2 linked regions of the Callithrix jacchus genome follow. The protein of the gene in region 1 purifies or fractionates together with the protein of each later gene. This does not show direct contact. Links are inferred from orthologs where the notes say so. Each region holds a gene or a part of one and is shown in the gene's direction. Other genes may lie near its edges.

Region 1 (3,752 bases):
CTTACAAGCCAAGGTCTCTGTCCTAAAGGAGCTCTGTAAGAGAGACAGACATAAGTAAGAAAGATCATAATGCAGTGCAGAAGTACACTGCAGTGACAGCAGTATGGACAAGCTAAGGACTAAGAAGGAAGACTGAGTAATTCTCTGGGGTGTGTTTCAGGGTAGGTATCACAAAGATGGTGATGTAAAAGCAGAATTTTGAAATATCAATAGAATTGACAAAGCAGGAAATAGAGTTGTGCTGAGGGACCAATGCACAGAGCACACTGAGGGCAAAGACCTCCAGCTGGTTCTTATTAGTGAACACTGCAAGAGAAGAAAGTGATGCTCAAAAGGCAGAGGCCAAGCCATCATGGGCCTTATATTCTGTGCATGACTGAAGTTATCAAAAGACTCTAAGGAAGGCAACTCGGGATTGGACTTGTTTTACATGACCATCTCTCTTAATTATGTCTGCGGGAGAGTAAATGTGAAATGATAAAATGGCAAAGGGACTCAGAAAGAGATGAGAAACCTGAGAGGCTTTTAGGGTTGATAAAATGAGTAGGACTTGGATTGCCCACTGTTTAGTAACTAATAACTTCCAGTCCCTGGTACTAATAAATACTTGAGGAAGGAATGGATGAAAATGAGTAGTGATTGGCTGGGTGTGGCAGCACCATGTCCCATAAGCGGAAGTCATGAGCCCCGTATTAACAGACATTGAGCGCTTAAAACCTTTAGATGTGTTGTTTTAATTCTAATAAACTTATATGCATTTCCACTTTTCAGATGAGAAAATTCTTAGGCTCAGAGAGACTACGGTACCCTGACAGCGGTTCTAGAACTCTTAGAAACTTGGCTCGAGGATATGACAGATAACCAGGTACGTATGCTTAAAAATTACTTTCCACTACTTAGCTTACAGGGTCAAAGAATGAAATTATCTCATTTATGATAAAATGTATAAAGTCGCTAACTCTCCAAAAAGGGACAACATAGGGTTCCAGAATGTTCCCGCCAGCCTGTCAAGGGAAGCCCAGAGAGGTGAGTCACAATAGCCCAAGACAAGCTTACCCTCAACCCTCCCCGTCACCCAGGGAGGGCGCGGGCGGGGTTCTTGGTCCGCCGCTGTCGCCTGCGCAGTCGCAGTGCGGCTCTTGAGCGCCGCGGCCTGAAAGAGAAGGGAGGAGAGACGAGTATACGCATGCGTCCATCCTGGGCCGCTAGCTCTTAAACCTCTCAGGGAGTTCTGACGTCATTTCCTGCCGTAGGTAGCCACTGTCTCCGGGTCGCGGTCATTTAGATCCCCAGTCTGGGTGACTTCTTGCGGCTGTACGCCCCCTCCCCCTCCCCGCGGTACCTTGCACTTTTCTCCTTCCCTGCCCCTCCCTAGTCCCTTTCGAGCCTTCTGCCCCTGATCGCTTGGCCTTGCTTCGCAGTCGTCTGCTGCTGTAGACAGGAGGTGGGTGAGGTGATGCACACAGCCCCGTAGTTGCCCTCCGCGTATGCCTTCACCACCTCTGTGGCCATCCGCGACTTTCGCACCTTCCGCCATTTTCCTGCCTGTGAGGGTGGATAGATCGCGCTCGGGTCTCGGCCTCCTTGGTGTCGGTGACTGCTGAGGCGACGGATTGCTTCTGGGGGTGTGAGCTGGGGAAGTTCGTGGTCACGGAATGCCTGTGGGGTTGTTGATCAGTCAGTAATGGCAGGTGGGAGATGGACACAGGGAGTGGAGGATGGAGTGCGGGAATCAGCGGTTGTAGGCCGCTGGGGCTTCAATCCTTCTTTCTTTTTTATTAAGTGCTTAAAATGGTATTGTCTCCAGGGCCTTGTCTGCCCTGACAGTTTTTGTGGTGTTTCTGGGAAGGATGCTGTTGTGAGAAATAAGAGAGTTTCATTTTTTTCGAATGCGGTTGTAGGGTAGAAGTATATTATTCAGCAGGCTCCATCCATCCATGAATTCGGCTTACCCTTTTTATTCCTTTTCTGGATCTAAGGGATTGGCATGTAGTAGGCCCTCATGGCTTACTGACTAAATGAATTAATTGTGTATGCCATTTCCTGTTTCCATGCAAATTGTTATTAAAATAAGAAAAATAATGATCCCGCGTAAATATTCTGTAAAATACAGTTACTTGATCTGTTGGTCTAAGTCCCAATATATGAGTTTTTTTTTTTTTTTTTAAAGAACCAAATAAAATTTACGTTCTTGGAATTTTATGCCTTTTTTATAATATATACTTGGGGAGGAAGGAAATTTGGAGATACGGAATTTGTTGTTAGCTTTACATCACAGGGTGAAGGATATGACGTCTTTGTTATTCTGTAGTTTTGGAGTCCTCTTTTGTGGGAAAGGTTGAATGTTTCTGATGATTATTTTGTTTTTTAATATGGAAACTCAAAAATGACTTGAGATTTTTTTCTCTTCTGTTTTGGGGAATTATCCTAATCATTGGGCATAGATTTGCAAAACAACCAAAACGTAAGATAATATGAAACAAACAGTTTCAGGAGGAAAAGATATGTATATTATTTTATTGCTATCTTTTTATGTCTTGATATTAATAAAAAACAGTATAAACTTATAAAACGCTTATGCTTTTTCAATTAAGGAACGTAACCTGAATAGTGAGTCAAATTAATAGGTCTGTTACTTTTTCATCTAGCTATTTTTATGTGAAGTATCTAAGATACTGTGGTGTGTAGTAAATGCTTGTTGATTGATTGCTATGTAGACTAGTAGTTTTACTATAGCCTACATCTTAATTTACTTTGACCTAACTAGTGATGGTTTCTAATACTTAATATGTGATGTTTTTGATACAGGAAAGATGAATGGGAGGGCTGATTTTCAAGAGCCGAGTGCAGAAGTTCCAAGACCAATTACCCGTAACTATCTATTAAGTATTTATAATTAGAAGCGCTTTCTATGCAAAGGAAATTTCACTGGTTTGAGTAACAGTGGCAGGTGGGCTGGCTTCATGAGCATGTGCAGACAGGCCCCTGTACTTGATTTCATGTTTCTACTCTTGAAATTCTGAATAATTTGGACAAGGAGTTCCACGATTTTTTGTTTTGTTTTGTTTTTGCAGTGGGCCCAGCACATTACGTTGTCAGTCCTTGATGAGCAGATAGTAGCATTAACTTCTGTTTGAAGTCAAAGTTTGTTAAAAGTGTGTAAATGGCTGGGCGCGCTGGCTCATGTAATCCCAGCACTTTGGGAGGCAGAGATGGGTGGATCACCTGAGGTCAGGAGTTAGAGACCAGTCTGGGCAACATGGTGAAACCCCATCTCTACTAAAAATAAAAAAATTATCCTGGCATGGTGATGGGTGCCTACAGTCCCAGCTACTCGGGAGGCTGAAGCAGATCACTCGAACCCGGGAGGCGGAGGTTGCAGTGAGAGGAGATTGCGCCATTGCACTCTAGCCTGGGCAACAACGGTGAAACTCTGTCTCAAATAAAAAAATGTATAAGCCAGTTGTTTTATATTTTGAGTTAAAAAAAAAAAGTGTCTCTTGTTAATATTTAGGCTAATATAATTTTTCAGACTTACTTTTATTATGGGTAATTTAATGTTTTTTTATTTTCCTTGTAAAAAGACATAGGGCCTGATTACATTCCAACAGAGGAAGAAAGGAGACTCTTCGCAGAATGCAGTGATGAAAGCTTCTGGTTCAGATGTGAGTTCAATTTTCTAATTAATGTAATTTGATCCAAAATTTGTACCTGAAATTTTGACCTGAATTTGAATCTGAAATTATAATAAC
Region 2 (2,814 bases), on another chromosome or scaffold:
TGGGGTGGGGGGTCTCCCTGTAGCCTCCGGTGACCGTCTGCCATCTTCCCTCACTGGACTCTGTCCCCCAGGGCGGGATGTACGTCTTCCAGCTGTTTGACTACTACTCGGCCAGTGGCACCACCCTGCTCTGGCAGGCCTTTTGGGAGTGCGTGGTGGTGGCCTGGGTGTACGGTAGGTCATGGCTGAGGGCTGGGCTGGGGGACAGTTGGGGGGCAGGCAGGTCTCCAGCTGGGCCCTCCCGCCTCACCTCGCCGCAGGAGCTGACCGCTTCATGGACGACATTGCCTGTATGATCGGGTACCGACCTTGCCCCTGGATGAAATGGTGCTGGTCCTTCTTCACCCCACTGGTCTGCATGGTAAGGGCTGGGGGAGGTGGAGTCGGGGAGGTGGGGCAGGGTGGGGGCCCCACTAACCATGGCATTCTGGTTCGTAGGGCATCTTCATCTTCAATGTCGTGTACTACGAGCCACTGGTATACAATAACACTTATGTGTACCCGTGGTGGGGCGAGGCCATGGGCTGGGCCTTCGCGCTCTCCTCCATGCTGTGTGTGCCGCTGCACCTCCTGGGCTGCCTCCTCAGGGCCAAGGGCACCATGGCCGAGGTAAGGCCCCTGCCCAGCCCACCCTCCCCTCCCCTGCTGTGAACATTCAACCCAGCCTGCTTCCTAGCCAGGGAGTAGCCCCAACTGGGCTGGCAGGCAGTGGGAACTGGAGAAAGGCAGAAGTGGTCACCTGGGGACAAGCAGGTGTGACCCGGGGCTACAGCATGTCCTCCTCTCCTGCAGCGCTGGCAGCACCTGACCCAGCCCATCTGGGGCCTCCACCATTTGGAGTACCGAGCTCAGGACGCGGACGTCAGGGGCCTGACCACCCTGACCCCAGTGTCTGAGAGCAGCAAGGTCGTCGTGGTGGAGAGTGTCATGTGACAGTCCAGCTCACATCACCAGCTCACCTCTGGTAGCCATAGCAGCCCCTGCTTCAGCCCTACCCCATCCCTCCAGGGGGCCTGCCTTTCCCTGACACTTTTGGGGTCTGCCTGGGGGAGGAGGGGAGAAAGCACCATGAGTGCTCACTAAAATAACTTTTTCCATTTTTAATAAAATGCCAAAAATATCACAACCCACCAAAAATAGATGCCTCTCCCCCTCCAGCCCTAGCCAAGCTAGTCCCAGGCCCTCCCTAGCACCCCACCCCCGACCCGCAGTGCTGTCCTCCTCCTGTCCCTGCCATGCCCACCCCTGCCCACCTCTCCAGCCTCGGCTCTGCAGCACACCCTTGGGTGACTCCTCACCCCAGAAACAGCAGTGGCAGCTTGGGAAATGTGAGGAAGGGAAGGAGGGAGAGGCGGGAGGGAGGAGAGAGAGAAGAGAGGCAAGGGAGGGGCAGCAGAGCTAAGGCAAATACTTCAGCTGGGCTACACCCTCTCCCCCCATCCATTACAGAAGCTTAGAGAGCCAGCCAGCAATGGAACCTTCTGGTTCCTGCGCCAGTCGCCACCAATCTGTGTGAGCTTGGGTGCGAGTGCACGCGTGCGTGAGTATGTAGCGTAGATAGAGATCTCTGTCTCTCAGCAAAGCTGAATACCAGATGTAAATGTTGCCTCTGGGCAAAGGAGGCTTGTATTTTGCACATTTTATAAAAACTTGAGAGAGTGAGATTTCTGCTTGTGTATTTCTAAAAAGAGAAAGGAGCCCAAACCATCCTCTCCTTGCCATTCCCATCCCTATAAGCCCTACCTTGCCCCTCTACCCCTAGCCAAGGAGTGTGAATCTATAGATCTAACTTTCATAGGCAAAACAAAAGCTTCCAACTGTTGTGTGTGTGTCTATTGTGTGGATGTGCGTGTGTGGTCCCCAGCCCCAGACTGGATTGGAAAAGTCTGTGGTGGGGGCCTCAGGGCTGTCCCCACGCTGTCCCTTTGCCTACAAGTCTGTGGGGCAAGAGGCTGCAATACTCCGTCCTAGGTGTCTGGCCTGCTCAGTCTTCCCACCCTGTGCCCTGGGCTGGGCAGACCCCCAGGAAGGGACCCCGGGCACAGCTTCCACCTCCAGGCTTAAGGCGGATATACTTCCTGCACCTCCAGTCTTCCGTGTGGCAGCTTTCACCCGCGTATGTCTGTGTCACACCCAGTCCCGAGACAGCTGAGTGACCCTGAGAAAGGCTTCTCCCACACCCGGACAGAGGCTGGAGGGCTGGGGCTGGGTGAGGGTGGCAGGCCTGCAGGGACATTCTTACTGTGCTAAAAAGTCACTGCAAACATAGCAATAAAAACATGTCATTTTCCAAAGCGGGCTCCTGCTTCCGCCTCTGCTGCTCTAAGAAGGGGTTGGGGTGCAGGAGGTAGGGGAACCTCCTCCAGCTGGAGCTGCTGCAGCAGGCAAGGCTCTGCTCTGGGGGCCTCTGCAGCCCAGGTCAGCCGTCTTCTGGGGACTGGGAAGGCAGCAGCCCAGGGAAAGCCTCGTCCCCTGGAGCGGAGGCACTTGGGGAGAGCAGGACGAGAGTGAGCTGGAGAGCAGCCACACCAGCAGGAAAACCATGGGTGCTGAAATTTTCAAATTGTTGCCCCAAGAATTTGTCACTGAACAGGTGGCCTTCCAAGATCCGAAACAGGTGATGGGGCAGGCCCGGGCCAGGCAGGTAGCAGCGGAGGAGTAAGTCTGCCTCAGGATCAATTTTGAAGGTGCAGCCAATAGGGGTTGTGCGTGACCAGGATGCAGGGCTGGAAGAGGAGTTAAGGATGACAGACTTGGCCTGAGCAAGAGGAAAGATGGAGCTGCCAGGCCCTGCAACAGGGAGGCAAGGAGAGA

Evidence for each region. Proteins that work in one complex are often made in the same cells at the same time.
Region 2: the proteins of OCIAD1 (region 1) and SLC6A8 purify together in Homo sapiens (co-immunoprecipitation; 3 studies listed by BioGRID and IntAct, with this or other methods). This does not show direct contact. The link is inferred for Callithrix jacchus from reciprocal best matches to the Homo sapiens genes OCIAD1 and SLC6A8.

Annotation. Positions count from the first base shown.
Region 1 is NC_133504.1:144,982,311-144,986,062, reverse strand, and holds the start of OCIAD1 (OCIA domain-containing protein 1), read left to right. Parts: upstream 1-1,284; 5' UTR 1,285-1,684; coding exon 1,685-1,691; intron 1,692-2,808; coding exon 2,809-2,871; intron 2,872-3,584; coding exon 3,585-3,665; intron 3,666-3,752. UniProt on the Homo sapiens protein: Maintains stem cell potency. Increases STAT3 phosphorylation and controls ERK phosphorylation. May act as a scaffold, increasing STAT3 recruitment onto endosomes. Involved in integrin-mediated cancer cell adhesion and colony formation in ovarian cancer.
Region 2 is NC_133524.1:149,611,993-149,614,806, forward strand, and holds the end of SLC6A8 (sodium- and chloride-dependent creatine transporter 1), read left to right. Parts: intron 1-71; coding exon 72-174; intron 175-260; coding exon 261-361; intron 362-438; coding exon 439-609; intron 610-792; coding exon 793-933; 3' UTR 934-964; exon of another isoform or gene 965-1,971; 3' UTR 1,972-2,294; downstream 2,295-2,814. UniProt on the Homo sapiens protein: Creatine:sodium symporter which mediates the uptake of creatine. Plays an important role in supplying creatine to the brain via the blood-brain barrier.